Neurospora crassa OR74A: one gene and its partner. The main gene of each other region encodes a partner of the protein of the gene in region 2 in a complex. Links are inferred from orthologs where the notes say so. Each region holds a gene or a part of one and is shown on either strand. Other genes may lie near its edges.

Region 1 (10,762 bases), about 260 kb from region 2:
GGCGGTATAAGGAAGGATTGTTCTTTGTCAGTCAACTGGATTTTCGGATGAAAGCCGACCAAGAACTGTAAGAATGGCCGCGAAGCTTCGGTTGTTGGCAAGTCGTTGTGAGAAATAAACAGCCGACGCCAATCACGGGCAATACCTTCCTCTCCTTGGGCGAAGAGGTAAGGAATCATCTCGTCGTAGAGGTTTTGGCGGACACTCGTCATGTACAGTGCTTGTAGGATTTCTCGAACCTTTGCGTCTGAATTAGTGATGAACTGCTTCAGCACGTGGGTAAGGGGTTCTGAGTCGGAGCAAAACGACGAGCTTAGGCGTAAGTGCCAAAGCAGCGTTGACTGTGTATCCTGTTGTGCTATGAAGAAAGATACAACACCTGCGTAGAGGTTTGGCCAAAGGACTCCGCGGTCACTGTGGAGCCACTCAGCATAGGACCAAGCACTGTGCAGTGTTGCTTGATCGTGAACGGCCACATCTAGTATTGCTTGCCAGAATTTCTCGGCAGTTGAGCCTTCCACTTCCGTCAAGGTTCGCCGTTTTTGCAGACCCTCGAGAACTGCTGCAACTCCGGCATCTCCTTCGGTGCGCTGGCGGTGCTCAAGTATGCACGACCAAAGGGTGATGTCGTTCGCATACTGTGGCCAGTCAACCAGTCGCGGCTTTCCATTTTCGGGCGAATCTGCGTGGACATCACACTGGAAGCGCAAGTCTTCCTCGGTGGCCGTCAAGACATCCCAATCGTCACGGTTGAAGGGCTGGTTAGCGATGCGGGATGACCGAAAGCCCGACCATGCTGACAGGTCGTGTGTGGTAGACGCTTGGCCTGGTAGCGCCTGCACTGCCGAGCCCCGTGCCTTCTTTGTATTCCGAACACCGTGGTCCTCTTCCGCCGCCAAAGTCTCCGAAAGTGCGTATGCCGTCAACGACCGCGACCAGCACGCGCTCGTTGAAAAGTTGACGCATGATGGTAGTCCAGACGCCTGTAAGTGCACAGCGTCCGTGTATAAGTGCGATATGGTGGAGCGGCGCGAGCGAGCTACATGTCGCAGCACAGGAGGCACGACTCGCATAATGGAATTGTGGCCGCTCGACACAGAGAATTGGGCATATGAGCGGCGGGGACTCTTCTTAGCGGCTGTCTGATGCGATCATGTTCATTTTCTTTTTCGCTTCGAGGTTGCCGCTGGGTTATTTGGCGTCGTTGTTCGTATCGTTCGTATAGATCGCGAGGTACCTGGGGCTTCGTTGACTGACTCGAGTTCTGGGGTATCGCGGGCGGTCCATCCCACGGATGGGGTTGTGAGGGGATGTGGAAACTCCTCGGGCTGGAAGCTTTGACGTTCTGGAGTGGAGGGGACACAAAAGTGGAGGGGACCTTGCAGGTGTGGCCGGGGATCGCTCCCTAACTTGCTTCTTAGTCATCCTACGATCATGTGTTTCAATCCCCCATCCTTCCCGGCAGGCAGTGAGTCTGCTGAGCTGCTCAGTCTGAAGGTCAATGTCGAGGCATCAGCAGCAGCTGAAAGCTGTGAGCACTGACCAAACCTTACACCTGGCAAACAGGCAGGCAGGCAGAGCTTCCGCCGTCGGGTCTGCAGTCTCCACCATCCACAAGTCCGTGCACCACAGGAAGCCCCGAGCCGAGAAACCTGAAGCAGTGAGAGGTTCAAAGCTAACTCTCCGTCCTTTCCACGCATTCGACATCATCACACCAACCCCTCGCATCACCCCCCCGGAATCTTCCACCCAACGACCCCCGACAACAATTTCAAGATGCCGTAAGCTTCTCCCCTCCGGCTGCGAGCTCCTCGACGATCCGACGACCCTCCAGCGACTGCGCGCATTGCGGACGCCGCCCCAGGTCCAATTACCTGTCGTCATGACGCACTATTGTTCGTCGTACGATTTTGGAATCCCAGGCTAACAGCTCTCTTTCTTCCCCGACTGCAGCGGCCTCGTCAACGCCCCCAACCACGTCCCCGAGAAGCAGCGCTACTACCAGCAGGCCTTCAAGAACCACACCCGCCTCTGGAAGATTGTGAGTTGAAGTCGACACTTGAGGATGGTTGGGGAATCAACAGATGGGAAGGAGGAGAGGGAGAGACGGAGAGGGAGGTTTTGTCGGGATAAGGGCTGATGACAAAATCGCGAACAGGGCCCTCGCAGCGGCATCATCATGACCACCTTCAACATTGCCATGTGGGGTACCTTCGGCGGTGCGTATACCTTCATTGATGGCTTATCGCTTCGTCCTTGCTCCTTCCGCTAACTGTACATCAGCTTCCATGTACGCCATGTCCCGCAAGGTTCTCGGCTACAACACCTGGTTCTCGGAGGATTAAATTAGCCGTCCTACCACGATAGTCAACGAAGGCGGTGCTACTGGTCATGATAGAAGCACGAGAATCCCTTTGAATATGTGTATAGTCGCAAAGAGCAGCATAGATGGCGGCAGAGGGCAGGCCGCTTTGGGTGATACCTCCAAGAAGTAGGCCGCCACGCCGATATTCCCTATTTGCATCATGGATTCCACCGACCACCTTTGGGAGAGCTACTGTAACCGTGGAAATCGTGATCCATTGGGTCTCGGCGCTTCGATTACCAAGCTCCAAACACTGATGGCTGCAGCTGTCAAGTCTTTTCTATCATTACAAAATTATGGCTTTTTGGCCATGGGGCAGTAGTGGCCATGGAGGTGTGAAACCTGTGAATAGTGGTAACCAGGCGTTCCCTTTGTCATGGGGGCAGATCAAGTAAGCGCTTTAAATCCCCGAGGCACCGGGGGCCTTTTCGTCCTTCTTTAGGCTTATCAGGAGCTCACGGAAACGCTCCTTGCCGGAACCAGCAGCACCGCCCTTAGCTCCCTTGCCGCTAACGTCAACCAGCTTGGCAATGCGCTCCCAGCTCGTGCCTCCCGATGTGGTGTCCTCGCGGCTGGCAAGGAACTCCTCGGCCTCCTTGCGGGTCTGCCCAATGGCCTTCTCCTTCTTGTTGTTGTAGTTCTCGTAGAATTCGTCAATGTTCTTCTGCGCCTCCGCGATGGTCTCGGCTCTCTGGGCGGCGAACTGCTCCGCCCGCTTGGCAAGCTTCGCATCACGCTTCTCGCGCCACTCTCTGATCACCTCGGGCTCTTGCTCCTCCTGGGCGTATGGCGCATATCCAGAGTTGTAGGTGACGGAAGGACCGGCGCCAGTGATGGTACCGCCTGGCGCAACAGACTAAAGTGAAGATGCCCCATGTTAGAACCCAAGACCATGATTACGTGCTGTGTCGACATCTTTGGTATCATCATTATTTAGTCGTACCTCGTTGCCTGCGGAAAGGTCGGGGAACTGGCTCTCGAAAGCAGCGCTAGTCTCAAGGCCAGCGCCGGCGCCAGCGGAGGAGTCAAGGCCACCCCCTAGGAGGTCGTTGTCATCGTCGAAACCAGCATCCTCAACTGTCGCAAATTGGTTGGCATCGTCGCCGAGAAGCGCCTTTTCGCGCTCGAGGAAGTTGGAGGCCGAGGGGCTTCCAGAACCCTCCTTGATCTCGGTCTGGGCTTTTGTGGGGGTTTGAATGTTAGCAGGCAGTAACAGCAAGGTAAGGGGATCTCCAAACAACGCCAAGCTTACCGCCGGAGTCGAACTCCTCCAGCGAGGGGAATCTGTCAGCCATGATGTGGGTGGTGTGATTTGACTTTTGGTAGATCGGCGCGAACGGACAAGACTGGAGGCTGGAGAAGTGGACTGAAAAACGGAAATATTGGGTAGGACGGAGGATCGAAGAAAGCTGCGAAACAGGCAAGGTGTTTCGTTGTTTGATGGAAGTGTCTTTTGGTGTTGGTGTTGCACTGCGGGAGTCCGAGTTGCAGCCCACCCCAGCGCTCCTGATCGCGCCAGGTTCCAGGTTGCGACGGGACGCCACTCACAGCGGCCACTGGGGCACTTTGGCACTTGTCCACAGTAACAGCGACCCTCTTGGGCCTCTCCATTTGGCCAGGGGAAGCCGTAGAGGTAGTAACAGCTACCTTTAGGTACCGGCAGGCAACTCCATTGTCTGCGTGCGGCAGGCGTTCCGTTGTCCCTCTTCCCCTGCCTGCCCTCGCATTGGACGGATGGAGGAAGCTCCAACGTCTGCTTCGTTCCGTCCCACCACCTCCCGTCGACAACTTCTTTCTTCCTTCTTCTTCTTTTTCTTCTTCTTCTTCTTCCTTTCATCAACAACATTCAGCACTCACCTCGCTGTGGTTTCAGTTGTTTGTCACAGAGCATCCAGATCACGCTCATTTGCGCTTTGCACTGCAAACTCTTCCTGGTGACAGCATTGGTAATAGCAGGGAAACGACTCCGGTGTAGTTGGACCACAGAGCTTGACTAGGTGCTTAGTTCGTGCTGAGCACTTCTCTCTTGCCGTCATCTAGTGTGTTGTGTTGATAGTCCACGCTTCTGCCATTTGAGGTTGTTCCCAAGGGCTTTCGATCCATATTCTAGATCACCACTCGGCCGCGTCTGGAGTCCCTGCTACTTACACGCAAACATCACGGATACCTTTTCGTACTGCTGTAGATGAGTTCTGAATAAACCCGACACCGCATATCTTGAACATCTGCCCCGTCCATCACACCCACCAACCAACCAACCATCAACAACCACTTTTTCCAACACTTTCCAACAAATTTCGCCTAAAGCTTCACCATGGCGTATAACGAGGATGCTGTGCTCTCTAAGCTCTCTGCACTCACTGAGACTCACGAGAGCATTGCAACCACCGCTCAGTGGATCATGTTCCATCGGTAAGCTCCCGCTGCCCACGACCGACGACCGCATTCACCTGCTGTTTGATGTCTCGACCGCCGAACTGACTGTTGATGTATCTTAGGCGACATGCTGCCCAGACTGTCCATCTCTGGTTGACCAAGCTGAAGGACCTCCCCAGTCCCAAGAGGCTCAACATGATTTATCTTGCAAACGGTGCGTGCATTTCCCAGGCTCTCCCACATAGGCTGCATGTGATGTGCATCCCCCGGCGTTCGTTCTGGGTTTCTTTCTTCTCGTTTGGGACTGAATGCTGACTTTATTCGTCTTTCTCATAGAGGTGACGCAGCAATCCAAAGCTCGCAACAAGGATGACTTCCTTCAGGCTTTCTCTCCATTCATCGCAGATGCAACCGCGTTGTCTTATAAGGGCGCCTCGTCAGACATCCAGAACAAGCTCCGAAGGGTTGTTGATGTTTGGAGAGAACGCAAGATATTCCCCATAGAAGTCCAGGACGCCATAGACTCTCGACTAAGAGGTAAGCCGTGGCCTCAGCCCTTCCGCAGACAAGCTACTAACTTGTTCAATCCAGAGCTTGACTCAGCCCGCTCCGGTGGAACAATGTTCGGTTCCACATCGTTGTCGTCGCCAGCTGCAGCGGTGCCTCCAGAGTTGGCACCCTTGGTTACCTCACAGCAGGCAGTTTCCAAGAGTGCCCAGGCGTTGAAGACAAGCCTTACTACCGCCAATTCGGACTACAGCAAGCTGATGGATCCGGCCCACGCTCCTCCTCAGGCGCCAGTGTATGCCGCGCGACTCAACGGGCTTCTTAAAAACCTTGCCAATGCTGAGGGAGCCGTGACGGAATGCATCAAGACCCGCGAAGAGCTGATCAGCGCATTGGAGAAGATGTTGAGCTCCAACCGACAGGCCTTGGAGGCCGAGCAATCACAGCTCAGGGATCTAGGCACCCGCAAGACGGCAGTTGAGGAGAAGAAGCAAGCAATTGAGCTCAGCATCATTGGAGGTTTGCCTCACAATACCCAAGAGCCGGCTACCGGTGAGGAGCGCGCTCCATCTAGCTCGGATGGCCACGGCATCGCCCGTCCTCAGGTTGAAGCACTCACGCCGCCCCACGTCCAAGATCACGACGATTTCTACGATCATCGCCCGTCTGAGCAACAACAGCCGCAGAACGGTCATACTCACCCAACTGGATCTGCTCCTGGCATTGAGATGCTGTCCGCCCTCGCTTCTCAATATGAGTCTGTTCCAACTCGAGAGGCCAAAAAGCGCAAGATCGACGAGACTGCCGACATTCCTGACGTAGGCATAGATGCCGATGTCGCCGAGATGATCCAGAAGGAAAGCACGATTTAGAACAAGGACGGGGAGAAGATTTTTGGAAGCAAAACTTGACCGAACTGAAGTTTTTCTACCTTTGTATCAGTTTGAGTGCATATGGCCCAACACTCTGGAGTTGTTGCCGTTATTGCTGGTCTAGGGGAACGATAATGGCTGTATGGCGAGAATCATCATTCATGTGGCATTTTGGCGCGGGCCTGAAACCTTCTCTGGAGCGAGTATGTGGAGATACAGAAGGACAGGACTAAGGATTATTGGCATGCTTCATTCTTGACGGGCAAAGCGCCATTCGGTTCGCTGTAGAAATATCGTGAATAAAATCATCGGCATTTACACAAGCGATCGTCTTTTTCGTCTTTTTTCATTACCATGATGACCTTTGAAGTTGATGACGTCCGCACAGCTTCAATACCCCTGAGGTACAAATAAGTGGCATGAGTGGAATGGGCCAAGCTTGAGCACGGGCCACTTGTAGAAGGTACCGACATCGTTGAACGCATTCCGGAATTGACAGTGGATGCCGCCGGCATCGTTGTCGGGTGGTGGCTTGCTCTTCGCTGCTGAATGACGAAATGTCCGACTGCAGGTGAAAGATGCGCGCTTTGCCCTGTTTTGGGGGGGGGGGGGGGGGGGAGAGGGACAATTGAACAAGGGAATCGAAGCCGCCCTCCCGCCGTCGTGGTCCCCAGAGCTTGAGCGGCGAATCAATCGCAGTTGCTGCAGCGCCAAACCGGCGATTGACCACTGAAGTTGAGATCCCGTCCGCCGGGACAAGCAAGGGTTTTTGCACCGACGGCCGAGCCGACCGAACTGCCTGGGTGTCATCCCGACTTCATTCCATCATCCCCCCCGCCGTCCGTCCCGTCCCTCGACCTCGGAACCTTTCCACCACTTCTTTCTCCACGTTTCCTTCAACAGTTCCTCAACCACATTCCACATCACCAAACTCACCCATTCGCACGCAGTGCAGGGACTCAAGGGAACCGGGCATTGACAAGCGCAGAAACAGGCGCGCATGCGCGCTAGCGGTCTCGCATCAGGCAATTAGTAACATAGCCCACTGCACAACACCGACATGATATGATAGAAACTCGACACCGAAACTCTACGATACAGCGAGCCTAGTACCTAGTCACATACACACTCGACCTACCCAAGACACATATACTTCAAGCCATGGTTACGGGGGTAGCGGTGCGCCGCGCCGTGCTGCTCCCCCAATGCGGCGGTAGCGGCGCCGGGCTCGCGGCTTTGCTGCCGTTCCAACGATCGCCCACTATGACTTCCTCGATTCTGTCCGCAAAATTCTGCCGTCCGTTCTCGTCAGTTCAGCGGCCCTCGACGACATCTTTTACCATCGTTTCGGTTCCTTTCTCATCCTCCCATCCCGGATCACGACCATGCGTACAATCCCAACGTTGGACTTCCCCCTTCGGCCTTCTCCGCCAGCTATCGACCTCACAAACTCGCCTACGGGAGCAGCCGGCCAAGGAAGCTGCGGCAGAGACAGCAGAAGAGGCGGCAAAGGACGTTGAAAAGGTCAAGGAATATACATCTGAAGAACACCTCAAGGTACACGGTTTTACGAAAAGCGAGAGGGCGCATAAGGCCGCCCATATCAACATGAGCGCTCGTCTTTCCAAGGATGGCAAATCCCAATCAGGCACCAAGCCCGGCTTCGCCGAGGTCTGGCGTCTGATCAAGATTGCGCGCCCCGAGGTCAAGGCGATGAGTGTCGCATTCGTCCTGCTTCTCATCTCGTCCGCGGTCACCATGTCCATCCCCTTCTCGATCGGCAGAATTCTGGATCTTTCCACCCAGGGTCCCGCCGGCGAGGTTCGGCTCTTCGGTCTTACCCTCTATCAGTTCTTCGGCGGCCTCGCTGGTCTTCTCACTCTTGGTGCGACGGCCAACTTTGGCAGAATCATCATTCTCCGTATCGTCGGCGAGCGCGTCGTGGCTCGGTTGCGCACGAATCTCTACCGCCGCACCTACGTCCAGGATGCCGAGTTCTTCGATGCCAACAGGGTCGGTGATCTGATCTCGCGACTGAACTCCGACACGGTTGTCGTGGGCAAGAGCATTACTCAGAACGTGTCTGATGGTCTCCGTTCCATGGTTAGCGGAGCGGCGGGTTTCGCGGCCATGTTCTGGCTCAGCCCCAAGCTGACATCCATTATCCTCATCATGGTTCCCCCTATCGGTCTTGGAGCGGTTCTCTACGGTCGCAACATTCGCAACTTGAGCAGGCAGATCCAGAAGAACGTCGGCTCACTGATGAAGATCGCCGAGGAACGGTTGGGTAACATCAAGACCAGCCAGGCCTTTGCCGCTGAAGTGCAAGAGGTGGGTCGCTACAACAAGCAGGTCAGAAAGATTTTCGCCCTGGGCCGGAAGGAGGCCATTGTCTCGGGTGTCTTTTTCAGCAGTACGTCGTATGCAGGAAATCTGGCGATCCTGGCTCTCTTGATTGTCGGCGGGAACCTTGTGCGCTCAGGGGCCATGTCTCTGGGCGATTTGACCTCGTTCATGATGTATACTGTCTTTGCTGGTTCGAGTCTCTTCGGTGTTAGCGGCTTCTACTCGGAACTGATGAAGGGTGTCGGCGCAGCGAGTCGTTTGTTCGAGCTCGAGGATCGCAAGCCGGCCATCCCCCAGACCGTTGGTGTGAAGGTTGAATCTGCGCAAGGTCCCATCAAGTTCTCGAATGTAACGTTCGCCTACCCTACCAGACCTGCAGTTACGATATTCAATGGCCTCGACTTTGAGATCCCCTCGGGCACAAACGTGTGCATTGTAGGCCCTTCAGGCGGAGGTAAAAGCACCGTGGCCTCCTTACTCTTGCGCTTCTATAACCCCACATCCGGTAGCATCACCATCAACGGCATCGACATTTCCAAGATGAACGCCAAGTCTCTCCGCCGCCGCATCGGCATGGTCTCACAGGAGCCAGTCCTCTTTTCGGGTACCATTGCCGAAAACATTGCTTACGGCCGTCCACGGGCTCCGCGCACCGAGATCATTGCGGCTGCCCAGAAGGCCAACTGCGGTTTTATTAGCGACTTCCCCGAAGGCCTCGAGACCCAGGTCGGCGCCCGTGGCGCCCAGCTTTCCGGTGGCCAGAAGCAGCGCATCGCCATTGCTCGCGCCCTCCTCAAGGACCCCGATATTCTTATCTTGGATGAGGCTACCTCCGCCTTGGACGCCGAATCCGAGACCCTGGTCAATTCTGCCCTTGCGGAACTCCTCAAGGGCCGCAGCACCACCATTTCGATTGCTCACAGACTGTCCACCATTAAGCGATCTGACAAGATCATTGTGCTCTCGAGCGAGGGTACCGTGGCTGAGATTGGCAGCTACACAGAGCTGAGCGCCAACAAGGACAGCCACTTCAGTAAGCTGATGGAGTGGCAGATGAGCGGTGGTGATGTCTCCCCGGACCACCGCCCTCCCTCTGGGGATCCTCATGTCAGTGAGGTTGAGGAGATTGAGGAGGAATTTGCGGAGGCGGAGAATGACGTTGACGATGCGGTGGAGAAGGATGTGAAGTCGCACAAGGAGCCAGTGAGGGAGTAAAGTGATGGCTGAATGATATTTTCAGCAATCCGTCACACTCCCACACCCCAGTCTACAGCAGATGGTAATGAGTTTGAGGCATTGTCAGCCACTTACTCACGTGGGACAAGCTCCCCGGTCGGGCCGCTGACACAGAGAGATATCTTATCCCTCACAGGCCCAGACCCAGGCATGAATCTCCCGCATCTTCTACCATATACCCGCCGAGCAAGTGACCAAAAGTCAAGGTCCATGCTTCACGCGATGCTCGCTTCAGAGGAGGAGGGCATCGTCACCTTTTTACTGTGTACATGTCACGTATTTTACTTGCTATGTTTGTTATTATTATTTTCAGATCTCCTTTTTAGGGCACTCTCTTTCTCCACTCTAGACCCGATCATGGATGGCTGGTTAGGATAGCTATATGTACGATGTATGATAGATCGGATGCTGGAGAGCGAAGGAGAACGGCACTGCTGGGGAGGTTTGGGGAGAGCCGATTTGGAGTACTAGAAGGAATAGATAAAAACAAATAAGGAACATTTGGCAATTACATCGTCTCGTCTATGACAGAATCAATGAGACCTTTGCTTCAGTGGGCGATCGACCGACTGGTCTTATAAACCAGTCCCATAAACGCTCATTGTGGTCAAAAAAGGCCGTTGCAAAATTATTACAGGACTTATAATAATTCGAAAACACATCGGCTAGACTAAAGTCCCTTTGGGGTATGTTTGTCCAAGAACAGCCTAAATATTGAGTCCAAAGGAGTACTGAAGACGCTGAAATGCGTAGTCAGAGTATACCCAAGGTATAAGCGAAAATCTCAACAATTTTATCAGGGACAGGCTACTCTCTATACACTCAAAATAAATGCTCCACGGGTTGTCGAGCATGAATGAGTGTAGTGGTCAGTGGGACTAAAACACAAGATACAGTACCATATCAAACAAATTTGGCGAAAACAGAGGTCTTCCAAATTCCTGCTATTCAATCGTCCTTTTGCTCTTCATTGCCGGATCCCCAAATGTCATATGTCAATTTCCGCAGTTTCCGTAGAAAGGTTCCTCGGAAGGGTTTATATGGGACACTAACTATAGAC
Region 2 (10,337 bases):
ACCTCCACGTTATTTCGCTTTACCTCACAGGCCTTCTTTCTCTCTCTCTCTCTCCCCCTCTCTCTCTGGCAACCCACCACCTCCTTGAGCCGCCCTCCCGAACGAATCCATGGCCTTTCAACAAAACTCCTGTTGAAAGATGGATAATATAATTTCGCTCCTTGAATTCCGTTGTACCGTTGCCCCCCCCCCCCCCCCCCCTCCCCGGGCGTGCTTTCCGTCTGCCTGCCTGCCTGGGGAGGGGGGGGGGGGCCCATCTCTTCTTTGGTGTAGTGTTGACTTTTGTCCAATGATCGTTTTTTTCGATGCAAGTCATCAACGTTTCTTGATGTACTGTGTATGTACCTGTGCAACCAGCTAACCCCCCTCCCCGCAAACATATGTGCTTGCTTCTTCGTCGTTGTTGCTGTTGTCGCTGCCGCCACATAGTAAGCGGCTGCTGTCTGACCGTTGGAAAAAACCTCGACCGATTTGATTGATTGATCATCATATGTAGGTACATATGATATATATGTCCGTCAACCCAAGCCAAGTAAAATGGTGGTGAACGATGTAAGTAGCCGCCTTATTTTGCTACCTACCATTGCCTTCCTCCAACAAACAGTCGTCTATCGGTGTTATTTCTTCCTATCTACTACACTACCTCTATCCCCTCCTTCTCCAGGATGCCTTGCATACATACACATACACATGCACATACTGGTTGGTACCGGCGTCGTCTATGCAAACTAAGCCGACGAGCAGTTCAAGTTTGATAAAGGCACATACATACATATATACATACATACATGCATACATACCTAGCTCAACTTTACATACATGACCGGTAAGCACTGACAAGCTTGATGCATCATCATGTGCAAAGTGTGCATACACGAAAAGGATATGCAGGATGGTATCTTATCTAAGCTGCTGCTTTGACAATGGTGCAGGTTGCAAGCAGATGAGAGAAAGAGTCCGCTTTGGCTTGGATGTCGGAGAAGGAAGAGGGAGGGGCGCGTAATGAGGGGAAGGGAGTTTTTGTCTACCTCTACGTAGAGAAATATTTACCTACTCGTCATCAGGTATTGAAGCAACGAACTTCGGCTGGCTGGGGAAGTGGCTTGCTTGAAAGTCTGACGAGAGGTAGACAAGGTGTGTCAAACAAGTGATGAGAACAAAGTGACAACAACACATGTGAGATGGGAGAAATAGCCAAGAACATACACGAGATGAGAGACGTGATACTAAGAGAATAAAAAATAAGAATTAACACTCGTGAATTATCGAATCTACCTCTTAACCATGCTAATGATACCAGCCCAAGTCTAAATGTCCTGCAAATCCACCTAAGACTGCCACATGTACTCGCTCAAATTCAGCAACTTATCCGCCATCTGCCTCTTCGCCGCCGCCGCCACGCCGCGCTCCGGATCCGCCAACTGCTCGCTATAACACAGCTCCACGAGCGCCTTGAGTTCATCGTAGCTGAACCGGTCCTTATCGTCCCCAAAAATTTCCGCCGACTTTCTCGAGTTGGGCGTCTCCGCCCCTTCTTCTCCGGCGTCTTCACTTTTTCGTCCTGCGTCACCAGTTTCCTGGGAGCCAGAAGAGGCGACGCCTTCCCTGGCTTTCTCGAGAATGGCATCCACTCCGCGCTCAAACATCTCAAAGTAATTACTTGCCCTCACGAGATCGACTCCTTCCTCGATATTCTTGAGGTTCTGCTGCAGCACAAGGATGTTGAGTTGCATGCGCCCGCACCCCTTGGCGTTCATGGGCGCCGTCATGGGCGCGTTCTTGATCAGGAACCCGTTGATCAGCTTGCCGAGGCCGTTCCTGACAAACTGAACCTCGCGCAGGCGGAGGCATCTCACTAGAATTTCGTCGTAGGCCACCATTTCCGAGTTGAGCGAGAGGATCTCCGGGTCCGGCTCGTTGACTTCCTGATCGAGCAGGTAGGGGGCCGTGGTGAGCGGGGACAGGGCCGTTTGGAGGGAGTGCAGGATGCGAGTGCGGATTTCAAGGTGTAGAGTGAGGAGGGCGGTGGAGGCGAGCTCGTCGTAGGATACTAGGATACTATCAAAGTTTCTAAGGGGGGAATGAGTTAGCAAGCGAATACTTATCAGGGTTGAAGAAGGAAAATATATAGGATAGTAAACTTACTCAACGGTCTCCTCCGTCATAGGCAGGTAAACGGGGGCTTCCCCTCCTGTAGCTTTGCTCGGGTCGTTCAGCAGCGTCCAGCGCTTCTTCTCCGCCTTGGTCGGGAAGCTCGACTTGGATGAGTCCGTCTCGTTACGCGTTATGTGACGCAGACCGTGGATCTTAACCGACAGCCACTTCATACTGGTGTATAGCAGACACATGGACTGAATCATGTCGCGATCCTGAATGATGTCACTGGCGTCCAGGTCCCGACCGTTGGCCCACGCGATGAGCTGGTTCACCTCGCGGTAAAGAAGCTCCAGATCGTTCAGGTTTTCCGACTTCCACAGCCTCTGTATCGTCTCGCGGACTTCACTAGGCTCGGTGGCGAGAATGGCAGATGCCCGAAGCTTTTCCTTTTCCCTGATCTGCTTGTCCCCCCCTTCTTGTGTCTTGGTGACCAGGGCTTTGTACCAGCTGAAGCAGCGGTCGTAGTATCGGACCATTTGGGTGATGATGAGCGTACTCAGCGCTTGGTCGTGGGGAATAGTGCCCAGCATCCGGCAAAAGGCTGTGATGACTGTGAAGAAGGCTGTGGTTCCCTTGTACACAGGCCGCTTCGCAACTTGGGCCCAGTCCGAGTCTTGCTGAAAGGCGTCTGCCTCGCCAAAGACAGTATCACTGAGCTTTCCAAGGGTCTCGTCGAGTTGAGGCTGGAAGACATTGACGAGGAAGTTGTCAAGGAACGATGTCAGCGTGCTGGTTGCCAGATCGGACCCCGGGGGCACAATGCTCTTCAACCTCTGAAGGAAGATGAGAGTAGGTGGTAGAAGCAGGCTCATGTTGAACACGCTGGGCTCTACCAGGGATTTGTAAGTGCCACTGTTCTGTTGACTGCTTCCTGAGCCGTACCCTGCCGACTTCCTCGAAGTAATTGGCTCAGATCGCGGGATGATCAAAGAACCCTTCTTGTTGTCACGCCGGGTGCTGTCCGTAAGTCCAGGTACGGCGGCCCGGATGATGGAGTCCAAGGCCTCATATTCCGAGGCCATTTCGGCTGACTTGGCATCAACTTCGGAGAACTTGAAGAGATTGTCGCGGGCAGAATCCGCCCTGCCATTCATGCCCATGCCAGGTCTGGGTGTACGGCTGAACTGATAGACATCCGCATCGGTGGTAACGTAGTTGTGCAGGAGTGCCCGAATCTCGTTTTGGTAGAGGTTCCAGAGCTCCTTGAAGCCCCCTAGCAGCACACTGTTGTTGCCAGCACCTTCACGGCGAATCAAGGCTTTGATGGCTTCGTGTAGCACCCGATGACCCTCAGCGATGGCCTCGAACTTGCCGTAAAGCGTCGATAGCAAATCGTGAATGACGTCTGCTCGCATTCGGGTTTCGCGGTGACCGTAAATGTTAAGGCCGTGAGACCCAGACGCGCCTCCGCGTAGTGAGCTCGGATGCTTCTGGTCTACATCGTTGATAGTCTCATTGACGACCGCGAAAAGCTCGACGGGTAACCTCTGCTTGAGCATGTCGACCGCTGTCTCTAGCCTTCCCAGTCTGTTCAGAGCTTCAACGAGGAGGGTCACATAGTAAAACGTGTCCGCCTCGGGATTCTTTTGGGGATCCTCAGCCACGGACTTTTCCCAGTCAATGGTGTCCAAGATTCCGTGGAAGGGTGCCACGCCTGGGGCGTCTCCATAGGTCTCATGAGAAATTCCCTGGACCTTTGCCAGGTTCTGCCACCTTTCCTGACAGTACGGTGATTTCAGATAGAGATGTTCGTGCAACTCTTCCACCAGGATATCCATGAGGGCGGTCTCCTGATTTGCAAGATAGCTTCGCAGGTCGCTCAGGGCACCAATGTTATCCAGCTCGGGCTTCCTCAGCTTCCGTAGCGCATTCTGCAGGACCTCGACGGCGGTCAGAAAACGCTTCTCGGATATCCTGGCCTCCAACTGGTCTGGAACGGTGCGCAAGTCATCGAGCTCGTTCAGTGTTTGTAGGACGCCATCGTACATGCGTGACGTGGCATGTAGCTGTTTGAGTTCGGGATTGGTGGTGCAGAGTGCCGTCTTGGAGGCTGCCAGCGACTCCTTGAGGGCGCGCACCTTCTTCTGGGAGGACTGTATGCTCCCTTGGATCTTGTGGAATGTACCAATGGAACTGTTGAAGCCTTGGTGGTGGTCGTGGACAATGTTCTTGAGGGACTCTTGGAGGAACTGGTGTGTCTGCTGGAAGTTGCGGTATTCGTGGGCGCGGCCGACGGAGCTGGTGTCGAGAAGCTGTAGAGCCAGCTGGACGGGGATGCAGTCTGTCTCGACCATGGCGGGCCATTCTCTCTTGATCAGATCCAGCACGTTTCCAATCTGGCGCTCGGCATTGGACTGGATCTGCATATCGCCGGCACCCGTGCGGCCACGCTGGGCAGACCGGGGCGGGGGCGCATTTCGGGAGGCCGTCGATGGTCTTGAAGCCGGGTTAGTGCTGGTGCCATAGCGGTCGCTGGGATATCCGTCACCGTAGGGATCGTAGTCGTCGTTACGCCGGCCAAGGTTGCCGAAACCGCTGTTGCCCCGATAGGATTGCGGCTGCTGGCCGTATCGGTCGGCCATGATGGTGGTGTGTGTTTGACTCGGCGTCCGGGTGTCGCGAGGAGGGAGAGCTATCGTGTTGCGCGGTACTTCATTATCGGCATGCCTAAGGTATACAGTATGGAACTACTGCTTGGTGTGCCGGGCCCGTCTACAGTTGGTATGAATTGTAGGTGTTACTGAGTGGACGTTGAGTCGTCGTCACCCAGGACTTGAGTCGTCGGGTGTCAAGGTTAGGTTGGTCAATGATGGTGCTTTAGTTGGTGTTGCTCAAGAAGTCCTCCTCTCTCCACGTTCATGATCCCCTAAAACGGATGTACAGTGCTTGTTTGTTGTTACAGAGGGTCCCGCCGTTGCTACATAGGTACGTAACCCCACTGACAGGGCCTCACGCACGACGGATCACTGCAGGGGCAGCGGCCTCCACGAGACATGAATTACAAGCTCGAGATGCTTCCACCTCAATAAAGGTATCCTGGCTCTTCTCTACATCTATCCTCCTTTCAAGTATTAATGATAACTCGTCAAGTCCTTATACTTGGGCATTGGAATTCCAGATTTAGAGCCTTCATCCACATACACAGCGCCGGACAACCGCTCTTTTCTACCATGACCGCCGCTTTCCCAATCCAGCCTGTAGCACGGTTTGCGGGCAAGAGTGAGCTGGTCAAACGGCCAAAGGTAGAAACAACCTACTAGAGACATCCAAAGACCAGAGAGGCTAACTGTCTGACCAGGAATTTGCATGCTTCTCATACGATGCCGATCACAAGTTCTTACTTGGAGCTCAGTCATTGAAGTGGTATTACACACCAGACCTCAACGTCGACCTGTCCAAGGGCTTCGAGAGCTTCATCAAACATGACGATAGTGTAGACGAACATCTGGACAGCCTACTCACCACCATAGCCGACTATGAGCAAAAGACGTCGAAACCGATCGATGCTCACATCGTAACTTGGAGAGGCATGATGACAAAGGCGAGTCTCCCTTAGACTAGCTGTTTCATGATGTCGTTCGTATATCGGACACTAACATCATATACACCGTGATAGATCATGGCAGCCCCCTTTGATGATGACGACGGGTTTGAGATGAATGCTACCCTTTACAGAGTTCGTCCACACCTGCCGCTTGGCCATCTAACTTGGGAAGCCTTGTCATACTAACATGGCTGTAAAAGGGTTGCATGTAAGCGACCACATGGTTTCCGCCCCCATGCTATTTTGACTGACGGCGACAAGATTTATCGAAGAGAACCATGCATACAAACAAGCATCGAGAGCAAACGAGCGGCCATGGAACGGGCCAATCCCGCAAGAAGTGATGCAGTACTGGGGTAAGCTAACTCACTGTCCACGTCTTTCATATCTGCTGAATTGGTAAGCTGACGTCTCCTGGCTTCCAAGGCTACAAGTTTGAGACTCTGAGCACACTTCCGAAACCATGGGGCCAGACCTCTCGCGATTTCATTGAAAGCCGTCCCGATCATGTCGTGAACAACAAGGAGCAATACTGCTCAGTAGTCCGTACAGGCATTGGCAAGACCATTCTCTGTATCGGTGGTGAGGTTGATGCTAGTTAGTGCTCTTGTCTCCCTACCTATACTAACGCCTCTCGTCAACCCCAACTAATAACTCGTCTTTTCTTACTTAGTATGGGACGACAAACCAAGGACTCAAGGCGATCCAATCAACTGGGTGGAGCTCAAGACGTCGGCAGTAATCCAAAATGAGCGCCAGGCCAATAACTTTGAGCGTAAGCTCATGAAGTTTTGGATCCAGTCCTTTCTCCTAGGCGTCCCCAAGATCATTGTCGGATTCCGGACGCAGGATGGGCTGCTGGTTGAGACCAAAGAGTTCCGCACGATGGAGATACCGCTCATGGTGAAGAAGAATGGGCGGCCAAAATGGGATGGGGATACGTGCGTCAACTTTGCTAACGGCTTCCTCGAGTGTGAGTCTTGTCATTTCCTTTGTCTTCTTGAAGTCCAGCAAAGCGTCTTATGCTTTGGAATCTATGACTAACAGTCTCTTTTCAGGGCTTCGCCATACCATCACCGACGAGGGCGTGTGGAGGATCAAGAGAAGGCCTCGGTCGGCAGAAATCGAAGTGTTCAAAGTCGAGGAGGTGGGCCACGGAGACATCATCACAGATGAGTTCATGAACTGGCGGATCAAGCTCGAGCTTCGTCAGGCACAGCCGCCTACTGAAGACAATGAGACCGAAGAGTAAGCTGAATTGGACGAAGCAGTACACGTCTTCTTATGTGCATCAGTGTCCAATAGAAAGAAGTACATTGGCGTTGGGCAACCCACGGTAGCTTCTCAGCCACCCCCCTCGTTCTTGCCTGCCAGTTCCGACGTCTTCCATCATCCAACCCTACCTGTCTGCACCTTCCGTGTGATAAGGCACGCCGCGAGGCAGCTTTCCATCTAATCTCAACCCACTAAAGACGCGAAGCTCCCCGCTGTCAACTGAACAAATGTTCACCTCCCTGTCAACAACCCAAACCATCAAAATCTCCATGCTTCCATTCACCCACGAATTCATTTCCACCATTCACTCTCTGGGTTATAGATCGCTTGACTCTGTCCAGCAATCGTCCGTCATAACTCGCGGTCCTTTAAAATCATTATGACCCCAATCCACGCCACGCGTCTCGACACTTCTCAAAAAGACATCCGCTTGCTCGAGCTTCTCCCGGCCAACAGTCTTCAAGACCCCATCCAATGCAGACTGTACATAACTCAACTGTCAATGGAAACGGAGTATACGGCCTTATCATACGTCTGGGGAGATCCGAATGTTACCTCTCCCATTGCTGTCAACGGCGTTCCCTTCCATGCAACTCACAACCTTTGCGCTGCTCTAAGACGCATACGATCTAAATCCAACCTCTCCACGACGCTTTGGGTAGATGCGATATGCATCAACCAGTCCGACAAAGACGAGAAATCGTCTCAGGTTCAGCTGATGACAGATATCTACCACAATGCCTTGCTCGTCACTGTCTGGCTGGGGGAAAGCGACAGTACACCGATGAGGCAATCGTTCTCATCAAGCTTACGGCCTATCTCCAAAGATCTCTTGAAATAAAGGGGAAAGGCACTCTACTGCCAATTATCTTCTGCGTACCGTTTCATCCGCTTTTTCCAAGTCCGACCTGAGATCACTCGCCCTTCTCAAATTCTTCTCTCGCCCCTGGTGGAGTCGTGTCTGGGTTGTTCGAGAAGTTATCGTCTCTCGGCGTGCAAATATTGTATTCGGAACGAAAGAGATCTTGGAGTGGAAGAGTTTGAGCTTCAGATGATGAGTGCACTTGTCGATAGGCCAGTTTGCGACGACTGATGTACGAATATCTACACCAAATGTGCCCTATAAGCAGAAAGGGGAATGGAGTTGAAGACTATGTTCAAGCTCGCCTGTTGGTAGATATTCAAACATACTCTTTACTCTCTCGAAAAGATAATGTCAGAGGACGTGTTACGGTCAGTCTCGTGCTCAAATCTCCCTATGGGTTCACTATTCAACTTCACTCTTCACAATGAGATATCGTGCCAGGACCGGAATATACTGGACAGAACTTGGGCTACCTCATGCTTTATTGTTTGCACACTTGCCTTATAATCCAGCTGTGTTCGTGAACACCTATCGCAAGGTCGTACAAATATGATAGATTTGCATGAACCTCAGCTCTATCCAGCACATGTCGCTATTGGTATTGCCAAGTGAACAGAGCACGGATACGGGTACCATATCCGACTGACCTGACTACATGTATTGGAGAGATTGTCATGTACCAGTTTGGAATGCTCACTTTGATGATTCAGAGTCTTGATGGATTGCTCGACTATTCTGCATGCTTGAACGGACGATCAATTCTGATGTGTTTGTCTCGTAATCTTTTTGACAGCACCATATGTCCGGTGAGCAAGACCCATCCGACTTAGAATATGAGACCGAGTTTGCTAATTCCGTGAGGTATCTCAGGAATGCGGTATCGACGAGTGAATCTGGACGCAAGCGGATGACTTGATGAAACACTCGTCGGGTACACAAGATTGATGCTGACTGACAGAAGCAAAAGACTATGGACGCGAACAGTTTCACTCTGAGATGTTAAGGATCAAAAAGGATTGAAATTAGTAAGTGCTTTTCTTGTACGTATTCTGCTTCATCATGGTCATTGAAGTGAAGGTCAATCAAATGTGCAAATGTACAACTGAGCTGGGAGAGCTCTACCTGCCTTATACGATGGACCTCTAACCCAGGGCTGCTTATCACTGCAGCGCACCTTAGCGCCGATCTTGCCCTGGCATGAGGCAGGAGCCGGGGGTTGGGGCCGCGGGGACATCAAAGGCCAAATCCGGCCTATCAAAGAGCTCATTTGATGGGATCAAGTACCCCACCGAGCCCACCATGTAGCTGACTCCAGCTGCCCAGAACCGCCTAGCCAGTGATAAGCGCGTCACCTGGACGGATTGTTGGCAACCGGGGTACCGCCTACTCGCTGTGCTGTACCCTGTAGCTGTAGGCTGTAGCTGCAACCTATAGCCGGTAGAGGTAGCTACCTACTGTACATGTACACCTTTGTAAGTGGAAGCTGTTCACCGACCGACCGCCTTCCTTTCTGTTGCCATCTCGTGCGTGTCATCATCTCGTCCTCTTGTTCCTCCCTGTCATCTTCTCATTTCTCTTCTCTCCAAAACATACAAATCCATCCGCATCACCCAGATATACACAATGGTCCGCGCCACTCCCGAATATCTCGCTGCCCGTACATCCATGATGTCTCTCCGAGCGCAAGCCCTCGAGCAGTCCATGATGGCCTCGCAAACATACTACGCTCCTCCTCAGCAGCCCCAGCAGCCTGTTGCTGCCAACCAGATCAATGCCAAGGACATCAAGCCCGAGGCTTTCACCAAGCCATACCTCGAGTTCATGACCGAGAACCCAACCGTTTTCCACGCTGTTGGTTACTTCAAGGAGAAGCTTGACAAGGCCGGCTACAAAGAGGTAAGCCGTCACAGCTTCCCAGCCCCCCTCCCGCAGTTGAAATACCACAACCGAGGCACAAGGACCGAAACTGACTAAGCGCCTTGTAATTTGTAGCTTCACAGCAGAGACTCCTGGTCTGGCCAGATCAAGCCCGGCGGCAAGTACTACACCACTCGCAATGGCAGCTCCATCATCGCCTGGGCCGTCGGCAAGGCGTATAAGCCAGGCAACGGTCTTGCTATGGTCGCCGGTCACATCGACGCCCTCACAGCCCGCCTCAAGCCTATCAGCACCAAGCCTAGCCACGATGGCTATGTCCAGCTCGGCATTGCCCAGTATGCCGGCGCTCTCAACAGCACATGGTGGGACAGAGACTTGAGCATCGGTGGTCGTGTCATTGTTAAGGATCCCGAGACGGGCAAGACCTCTACCAAGGTCGTCAAGCTTGATTGGCCCAGTATGTTGACTCCCCCCAACCCAATTCCATCCGATGAAAGCTAACACACACTTTCCAGTTGCTCGTATCCCTACTCTGGCTCCCCATTTCGGCATTGGTATGACGGGCCACAACAACCAGGAGACCGAGATGACCCCCATCATTGGCCTCGATAACAGCGA

What was found. Proteins that work in one complex are often made in the same cells at the same time.
Region 1: the proteins of NCU04191 (region 2) and NCU04116 are in contact, whole or in part, in a cryo-EM structure (PDB 8YF5), measured with the Komagataella phaffii proteins. The link is inferred for Neurospora crassa OR74A from reciprocal best matches to the Schizosaccharomyces pombe genes din1 and rhn1. Residues at the interface, in XP_002490393.1 of Komagataella phaffii: Ser62, Lys63, His64, Phe65, Leu66, Leu67, Gln147, Lys154, Lys186, Lys188, Cys189; in XP_002490270.1 of Komagataella phaffii: Gln19, Tyr59, Asn62, Gln66, Arg105, Val109, Gln112, Arg113, Lys114.

The regions. Positions count from the first base shown.
Region 1 is NC_026505.1:4,894,546-4,905,307, forward strand, and holds NCU04116 (DUF618 domain-containing protein), read left to right. Parts: upstream 1-4,140; 5' UTR 4,141-4,679; coding exon 4,680-4,777; exon of another isoform or gene 4,778-4,852; coding exon of another isoform or gene 4,853-4,863; coding exon 4,864-4,955; intron 4,956-5,077; coding exon 5,078-5,278; intron 5,279-5,332; coding exon 5,333-6,120; 3' UTR 6,121-6,444; downstream 6,445-10,762. Other genes in the region: NCU04113 (hypothetical protein), read right to left, coding at 1-1,073; NCU04114 (hypothetical protein), read left to right, coding at 1,777-1,781, 1,954-2,041, 2,159-2,219, 2,284-2,345; NCU04115 (clathrin light chain), read right to left, coding at 2,766-3,221, 3,309-3,544, 3,618-3,660; NCU04117 (ATP-dependent permease MDL2), read left to right, coding at 7,282-9,681.
Region 2 is NC_026505.1:5,149,154-5,159,490, forward strand, and holds NCU04191 (rai-1), read left to right. Parts: upstream 1-5,222; 5' UTR 5,223-5,231; coding exon 5,232-5,399; intron 5,400-5,455; coding exon 5,456-5,698; intron 5,699-5,773; coding exon 5,774-5,833; intron 5,834-5,901; coding exon 5,902-5,909; intron 5,910-5,962; coding exon 5,963-6,057; intron 6,058-6,127; coding exon 6,128-6,298; intron 6,299-6,374; coding exon 6,375-6,674; intron 6,675-6,759; coding exon 6,760-6,953; 3' UTR 6,954-7,034; downstream 7,035-10,337. Other genes in the region: NCU04190 (exocyst complex component Sec8), read right to left, coding at 1,329-2,070, 2,146-4,739; NCU17026 (hypothetical protein), read left to right, coding at 7,356-7,817; NCU04192 (vacuolar aspartyl aminopeptidase Lap4), read left to right, coding at 9,465-9,737, 9,834-10,176, 10,235-10,337. UniProt on the Schizosaccharomyces pombe protein: Decapping enzyme for NAD-capped RNAs: specifically hydrolyzes the nicotinamide adenine dinucleotide (NAD) cap from a subset of RNAs by removing the entire NAD moiety from the 5'-end of an NAD-capped RNA.